2 linked regions of the Mus musculus genome follow. Each later gene encodes a partner of the first gene's protein in a complex. Links are inferred from orthologs where the notes say so. Each region holds a gene or a part of one and is shown on either strand. Other genes may lie near its edges. The genes, in order: Gtf2e2 and Polr2j.

Evidence for each region.
Region 2: Gtf2e2 (region 1) and Polr2j share a complex: the UniProt entries of both Homo sapiens proteins name them as parts of the TBP-based Pol II pre-initiation complex. The link is inferred for Mus musculus from reciprocal best matches to the Homo sapiens genes GTF2E2 and POLR2J.

The regions. Positions count from the first base shown.
Region 1 is NC_000074.6:33,773,528-33,777,336, reverse strand, and holds the end of Gtf2e2 (general transcription factor IIE subunit 2), read right to left. Parts: intron 1,394-3,809; coding exon 1,278-1,393; intron 885-1,277; coding exon 768-884; 3' UTR 164-767; downstream 1-163. UniProt on the Homo sapiens protein: Recruits TFIIH to the initiation complex and stimulates the RNA polymerase II C-terminal domain kinase and DNA-dependent ATPase activities of TFIIH. Both TFIIH and TFIIE are required for promoter clearance by RNA polymerase.
Region 2 is NC_000071.6:136,115,242-136,119,564, forward strand, and holds the start of Polr2j (DNA-directed RNA polymerase II subunit RPB11), read left to right. Parts: upstream 1-1,449; 5' UTR 1,450-1,511; coding exon 1,512-1,564; intron 1,565-4,323. UniProt on the Homo sapiens protein: Core component of RNA polymerase II (Pol II), a DNA-dependent RNA polymerase which synthesizes mRNA precursors and many functional non-coding RNAs using the four ribonucleoside triphosphates as substrates.

The sequences.
Region 1 (3,809 bases):
GGGCCCTCACCAGAGTCCGCCACGCCAGCTCTCAGGGGAGAGCCAGGATATGGTGAAGCTGATGTTCAGGTTGGCAAGGAGTTTCCCTATCCATGTTCAGGGTGGTAGCAAATCATGAATCCAACTTAGTAAATGCTGGCTTAGCTTTTTAAAACAAAGCATTAACATTTATATTTCGTGTAATTTTATTGCTTAGCTTATTAACCAGAGGCATACCCTGTGTTCCAAAGATGAAATCCTTACGCCAACAGTACTGACTCTAACCTCTGTCATATCCTAAACATCCCCCCAGACAAGTCAGGGGCTGCAGCTGCTCCCTGCCATTTTCAAGAAGTAAGAGACAAACTGAATTTCCTAACTTCTTAAACATCTTCCTACAAATGATTTTATTATAAATATTTTTTCTTGGAATAAACAAAACTGCATTCAGCACCATCCTCCAACTTCTTCTAAACGAATAGAGAAAACATGGAATCCAGAACCATTTAGAAATCAAGATAAATAGCAGACACCTGAGTGTCATATAAGTGTCTTTCTAATAAAATAAAACAAACAAACCCAGAAAGTTAAACAGGAACACCCATTCCTTCCCACTAGCCTGCTGGATGAAAAGAATGAGTCTGGTAACCCGCTCCTGTTCTGTAAACTGAGCAGCTCCTCTCTCAGGCCTGAGGAGCAGGCAGGAAGGCAGACAGTCTTGAGATCCCAAGCATCAAGAAAGATCTCGACTGCGTGTCTGTAACTGTGTTTAGGAATAAAAGTGTTCCCTATTTGCCCGGGGTAATGTCCGAGTAATCCTTCAGCACTCCAGCCAAGTGTTCATTGTGAGTCTTAAACCGTCGCTTTTTCTGTGAAGCAGGCTTTTTCCTTCTCTGAATAGAGGCCTGCAGGACAAGGTAAAGACAGTTAAACACAAGTGACCCTAGGGGACAGAAGGTTAAGATTTACTCAACAAGCTCAAAGCACAGGGTTCTGAGCCTTTCCTGGTTCTTGCTTGGAGGTCCGACCTCAAACACCCCATTCACAGTACACCCAGCCTCCATCTAGAGCTGTGCCTTCTGATACCACAAGGCTTTATAAACCTCCATTGGAAAAGAGCAGGCAGGCACAAAAGCAAAACACAACTCTCCTGGGCATTAAGTCAGTAAAATGAGAGGCGATGAATTTCTGTGCTGTCTCCATCAGAGGGAATCCCTCCCTCACTCTTGGACAGCAGGATGAGGAGCAGCTAACCGTTCAGAAGAAGCGACTAAACTGCTTTTCTAAAGAATACATACCACTTTCTTTGGTCCAGATTCCTGCATGGAAGAAATACCCTGTCGCTTCAGATACTCTTCAATTTTCTCCTCATCCATTGAATCCACAGTGACACTCCTCCACAGTTTCTGGAATTCTGTACCAAGACAGTAATTATTTTACCATAAATTTGTATAAACCACAGCATTTTTGGTGATCAAAATTCACCTTGAATAGTATCTGTCCTGGGCCTAAATTAGTACATCTTAGATTTAACTAAGAAAACAAAGAAATACCTTAAACCCTGGCAGGCACTCAGGAGGCAAAGTAGGCAGACCTCCACAAGTTCAAGGCCAGCCCTGCCTAACAGCAAGTTCCAGGCAAACAATGAGGATACATAGTGAGACACGGTCTCAACAAAGAAAGAAGGAAAGAGTGAAACAGAGACACGGACACAAGAGAAAGAGAAAACGGCAAAAGTATGTCAAGTGCTGGAGGCTGTGTGACCTGGAAGGCAGCAGTGACAGGGCCACCAGTGTGCTCTGCTTTTTATGATTTAGTTAGAAGAAGGCTGTGTGACTGAAGCTTCTCCCACCTTCAAAGGGAAGAGAAGCAGTTAACACTTCCATTCCAACAACAACAATGAGGAAGAGGAAGGAGAGGAGGAGGAGGGTAGGTTGAGAACACTCCCTATTATGAACAAAGGAAAAAGGTAGGTGTCTAGCCACGTATCCCATTCTTATACTAGACATGTATAAAATAATAATCGTTTATGCTTTAAATTCTGCTCCTAAAGGCAGCTAGCTGTACTGAGCAGGCTCACTAAGAGCCTTGAAGCCCTTCCCACACACAGCCCACCTGTGACGACAGCAAAGCCTTACAGTGTGCTCTGGGGACTGAGAATGGCAAAGCCCCTAATGCTGCGCTAGGCTTCTTGTTCACCATAGCCGAGGAGGTTGCAGGCCTGACTATTGCCAACCCTACACCAGCACACACCTCCCCTCCTTGCCACTCCACTACCATGCAAGCTACGTGACGGCTCAGTGGCTGTTCTTCAAGGAGACATGACTTGGTTCCCAGTACCCACCCACATGGCAGCTCACAGATATCTCTAACTTAGGTCTAGGGGCTCTCATGCTCGTGTTGCCTCCACTGCTCTGCTTAGTAGTTAAGAGCACCAACACACATGCAGGCCAAATACCCATGCAAGAAATAAAAAAATAAAAAAGATAATTTTTTCCCCAAACTTTCAATCTAAAGCAAACAAATGGTGACTAAAGTGCATGTGAATACATGCAAGCGACTAATGCATTATTTCAAGAGTCAAAGTTCATACAGCCAGTCTGGCTACTGTTTGGTATGTTCCCACGCCTTCTACATGTGACACCCTACACCACCCCAGAACTCTACCAGGAAGAAGGTCTCTGAATAAACCTCTTTGCTTTATAATTCACCCAGTCTGTGACACTTCTTAATAAAAGACTAAGACAGCAATCTTAAGCTAAAAGGAGCAGAGTTGGAGGCAAGAGACAACAATGACCACAAACCACATTACAAAGCTACAGTAATCAAAACAGCATAAAAATAAAGAAGTGTCAACCTACAAAACAGAATAGAGTACAGAGAGGATTATCTTAATATCAGTTAAAGTAAATATCTCAATTGATTTTTAATAATGTAAAAGCAGAAAATGAAACAGTCTCTTTAATAATGTCTTGGGGAGTCAGTGTGGCCAGAGCGATAGCTCAGCAGTTAAGAGCACCAGCTGCTCTTCCAGAGGACCCTGGTTGGCACCCTCAGCACCCACATGGTGGCTTACTCACGCCATCTCTTAATTCCGGCTTTGGGATTAGGCTCTTTTCTGGCCTCTGCGGGTCCGAAGCACATAGGTGGCATACAGATATACATGCATGCAAAACATCCACACACACAAAACACAAAGTGTGCCAGAAAAATAATTGAATCTACAAGCAGGAAAGGCAGGCTCTTTATCTCATACTATGTGCAGCAGTCAACTGGATGTGGATTACAGACAGAAAGACACACACAGAGTTTTTAAGAGCTCTGCTGTAATTATCTGTTCCTCTGTAATGACTCTTTCTCTTCTTTCACTGTCTTCATCTTCAGTAGTTAGCAGTCTGAATAAACCAAGTCTGATGTTTTCCTCTTTCATTGGCTTGGAGAGGCATGACTTATCTCACGTGCTTAGATCCATCCTGGTTTGATGTCATTAATTCTAGAAAATTCTTGGCCACTGATATTCAACTTTCTCTTCCACCATCTCCTTCAGACTCAAATTATCCATGAAGATAATTGAAGACCATGTGATATTGTCCTACAGATCGTTAAAAATGTCCCCTTGGCTACTACGTCATGTGTCCTGAGAGGCTACTGGAGTTGCTCTTCAGCTCTGTCACCACACTTTCCATTAGATGTTCTTAGTGACATATTCCACTTCATCATACAGTTGGTCTGGCCTTTTCTACTACTTAGGTCAACATTAACCTTTATTTTAAATTCTGTGTTTAGCAGTTTATCTAGTAGTTAAATATCTGTGTCTTAAGAATTTGGTC
Region 2 (4,323 bases), on another chromosome or scaffold:
AACAGAAGTCCTGGTGCTGCTGGCTTACGCCTTTAATGCCAGCACTCTTGGAGATGGAGGCAGGCAGCTTTCTGAGTTCGATGCCAGCTTGATCTACAGAGCAAGTTTCAGGACTGCCAGGGTTGCACAGAGAAACACTTGTCTTGAAAAACAAACAAAACCAAGACAACAACAACCAGAAGCAGCCAGGCGTGGTGGTCCATGCCTTTAATCCCAGCACTCGGGAGGCAGAGGCAGTCGGATTTCTGAGTTTGAGGCCAGCCTGGTCTACAAAGTGAGCTCCAGGACAGCCAGGGCTACACAGAGAAACCCTGTCTCGAACCCCCCCCCCAAAAAAAAAAAACAAAAAAACAACCAACCAGAAGCATCTTAAGGAAGGGTATACAATGCAGATGTCATAGCAACAGGATTCCCAGGCAGCCAAGCACACTGCATCTGCGCCAGGAAGCTGTAGTCTGACTCCTGAGCCTCTAGGATGATGCCATACACGTCTGTCTTCCTCAGTCAAATCTGTCTAGAATCCCAAAGACAACCAAACGTTCTTTATTATGGTTATGATTATTATTCTCTATTGTGAGTGCACACATGTGTAAATGCATACCGTGAAGGGAGGTCGGAGAAGTCTGTTCTCTACCACCACGTGGGTTCTGGGGACTGAATTTAGGTAATCAGATTTGGTCACACTCCCCCTTGCCCACTGGGCTGTCTTGCTGGCCCCTCCTAGGGGTTTGTTTCTAGGATGATTCTAAATTTCATCCGGTTGACAAGATGAGCCATCAGGGAGGCTGGAGAAATGGCTCAGCAGTTAAGGGTCTTACTGCTCCTGCAGGGGACTGGAGTTCGGTTCCCAGCACCCACTGGGGCAGGGGGGGCTCACAACCACCTGTAACTCCAGCTCCAGGTGACCCAACCCTCTTCTGGTCTCCAAAGGCACCTGCATATACGTGCCCATACAAGATATGCAAATAAAAATCTTTAAAAATAGGAAAAATAAAAGATTGCTACAGAGACCGCTGAAAAATGGCGAGGTGCAAAGCTTTCATCGTGTTTTTAGTTACCTGTGTGCTCAAGAGAAGATGCGCTGGTACCCCAAGCTCCTCCCCAACCTTTACATCCCTTCTTGCTCCACTGGTCCTCATCTAGAAGGCCTCATAAGTCCGCCAGTGTCGGCCCACCCGGGGGTCCTGCAGCAGCAGCCCACTTAGACTCTTAGTCCCATTCAGTCGGTACCGGGGAGCCAGCTACAGGTGGCTCAACTCCGGGCGCGGGAGCACGCGCCAAAACACTCAGCATGGACGCCTCGAACAAGGGTTCTAAACTGACGCATGCGCACGGCTCGCCCTCAGCCTTGCCTGCGCCTGCATTAGGTCATCCGAGCCGCTAGGGGGCGGGGGCCAGGTGCTTACACTGATTGGCTGCGGCTGAGAAATCCGGAAGTGGTCGCGCTTCGGGGCTCTGTTGGCGGAAGGAGACTGTGGGTTGGTGTCGGGGAGCGAGAGCGCGGCGCTAGGATGAACGCTCCTCCGGCCTTCGAGTCGTTCTTGCTCTTCGAGGGCGAGAAGAAGTAAGTGGAGGCCGGCGGAGGCGGGGACGGTTGCATAGGAGCCTGCCGGCCGTCAGCTCCGCTGGAGCGCCGCACTGCTCCTGTCTGGGGAAACCGAGGCGGGAGGCGGGCTTTGCTTTGAGTCTTCCGTGCTGCTCAATGCGAGTCTGCCCAGCTTCAGGCAGCGGCGCGAAGCACTGGCGCGTGCATGCATTTTGCAGTGGGAAATCGGAGGCTCTGGGACATGGAGTGTCTTGCTCCAGACACTTGGTTCATGATGACAGCTGTGAAGGGACAGAGACACAGCTCTCTTACACTCCTCAGCAACCTGAGGGTTTCTCCTAGATTTTCAGGGATCCCGACTTAGGCCAAACCCGGGTTCGTGGCTCCACGCTAAAAAGAATTTCAGGACTCTTCGGTTTAGTGAAGCAGGATTGGTGGGTTTTTAATTAAAGATACTTTAATATGGGCTTAAGCAGGAGGGTTCAGAGGAAGAGAGCGCTAAGAAAGTAAGACAGACGCAAGTTGGGTCTGTGTGCATTCAGAGAGCAGGGGGAAGTACTTTGCACTCGAGTGGCTACAGGTTTAGAGATTAAGCATCTAATTGTCTTTTGGAGGTAGGGTTTCTCTGTGTATCCTCCTTGACTGTCTTGGAACGAGCTTTGCAGACCAGACTAGCCTCAAACTCAGCGATCCACCTGCTTCTACCTGGGATTAACGGCCTGAGCCACCGGCTCTGGCTTTATGTAATTGTCTTAATGGTAGCCAAATACACTCTTTTGATGACTCAAAGTTTGCTACGAACCCTTCTCTCTTGTGTAACCCTTCTCTCGTGTGTGTGCCCCTTCTTGGAAGTCAGCTTAGTCTCTATCTCAGTGGGAAAAAGGTATGGAGGTGTGCTAGGAATCGTTTGTGAACCCCAAAAGATCATTAAGGAGCCGTTTCCATTAGGGTCTCTTTATCACAAGCTCGGGCTTGGGCTCTCCTCCAACCCAACCCTGACACAACAGGACAGGAAGAGAAGGCAGAGCAGCCTTGAACCCAGGACAAGGTTTTCTAGGGAGTGGGAGTGACGGGGTATGGAGCTTGGCAGGTATCTAACTGAATGTCTGTTGTAAGCTGACAGGTGGTGCTGTGAAGGGAGATGAACAATCACAAACTATCTGAAAGTAGATCTGAAGCAACCAGACTAATCTTTGATTAACTGTTGCTAGGGAGTAACTCTGGGGTATGGGCCAAGGGACAAGCCGTGAGGTCCTTCCTGGTACTTGGTTGCATCTTGGGTTCTGCTGTAGGTCAAGTTCTCAGGCTTTTTTTGCGGGGGGGGGGGGGGGTTCAAGACAGGGTTTCTCTGTATAGCCCTGGCTGTCCTGGAACTCACTTTGTAGACCAGGCTGGCCTCAAACCCAGAAATCCGCCTGCCAATGCCTCCAGAGTGCTGGGATTAAAGGCATGCACCACCACGCCCGGCTTTTTTTTTTTTCTTTAAGATGGAGGTAGCAGGTCCCAAGATGGAGTAGATTTGGCCTCTCAGAGGTATACCCCAGTGGTAGATTGCTTACCTAGCATGCACGGGGCTCATTTCATCCCTGTATCAATCAGTCAATAAATAATGAAGTTCTTCAAGATCCTCCGAGTTTGCCAGTACAGTGTACACTGCAGACCTGTAGCCGACACTGCTCATTCCTAAGAGGCAGGGTTTTGTGATTGACATTTGATAGCTACTTCAGCCTTCCTTGGGGGCATATTCTCAACTGAGAGCCCGGTTGTTGTCCCATGAGCAAGAGCATTTGGCCATCTGGAAAAGGTTCTGGTTGTCCCAGGCACGTTGGTATTGGCAGCGGGTGGATAGCAGCAAGGGATGCTGATAACAACCCTTGGTGCAGTAGACAGGCTCCCAGAAAAGGACAATCAGGTCCAAAACATCCATGTTCTGGGCTGGCAACATGGCTTGAGCGCAGGCACCCGCAGGCAAGCCTGATGACTTGAGTTCAGTCCCTGGGACCACTATGGTACCAGGAGAGACCTGACAATTACAGGTTGTCCTCTTATCTCAGACAGGCGTGGACAAAGTAAGAAAATATTTGTGTACCGAGTTTGAAAAAAGGAGCAATCCTTAACTGAGCGGTGGATTTTAATCCACCTTTAATCCCAGCACTTGGGAGGCAGAGGCAGGGGGATCAAGGCCAGCCTGGTCTACAGATCAAGTACGAAGAAATGTAGTCTCAAAAAAAACAAACAAAAACAAGGACTGCTAAGTCCATGCTCCCTGGTATATAAATAGGAGGCCATCACAGGGGAGAGGCGGTTCCTTGTTAGCATTTATTGATTGATTGATTGTCATGCTGAGGACTTGTGTGTAGATCTGAGTTCTGCTTCCAGTGTTTCTCCAGGGGCATGGGAAGTGGAGACAAGCACAGTGTGTCCATTGGCAAATGAGATTCTACCTTAAGCAAAGAGAAAGGCCAGGGTGATGGCTGAGGTGTTTCTCTATCCTCCTGCCTCAGCCTCCCAAATTGCTGGGATTACTGGTCTGAACTACCAGGCAGGCCTACCTTGTTTATTGTTTGGACGGTGGGAGTGGTGGAGATGAGACCCAGAGACTTACACATGGGAGGTTAATGGTTGGCCACTGAACCATGCCAGAGCTCTGAGTCCTTTACTGGTGAGTAGACTGAAAAAGGCCTCCCAGGGCTAGACCTGTAGCTCAGTGGTTGAGGGCTTTGCTTAGCACGCTCAAAACCCAAGGTGCAACTCCAGTAGCCATTGGGGATAGATAG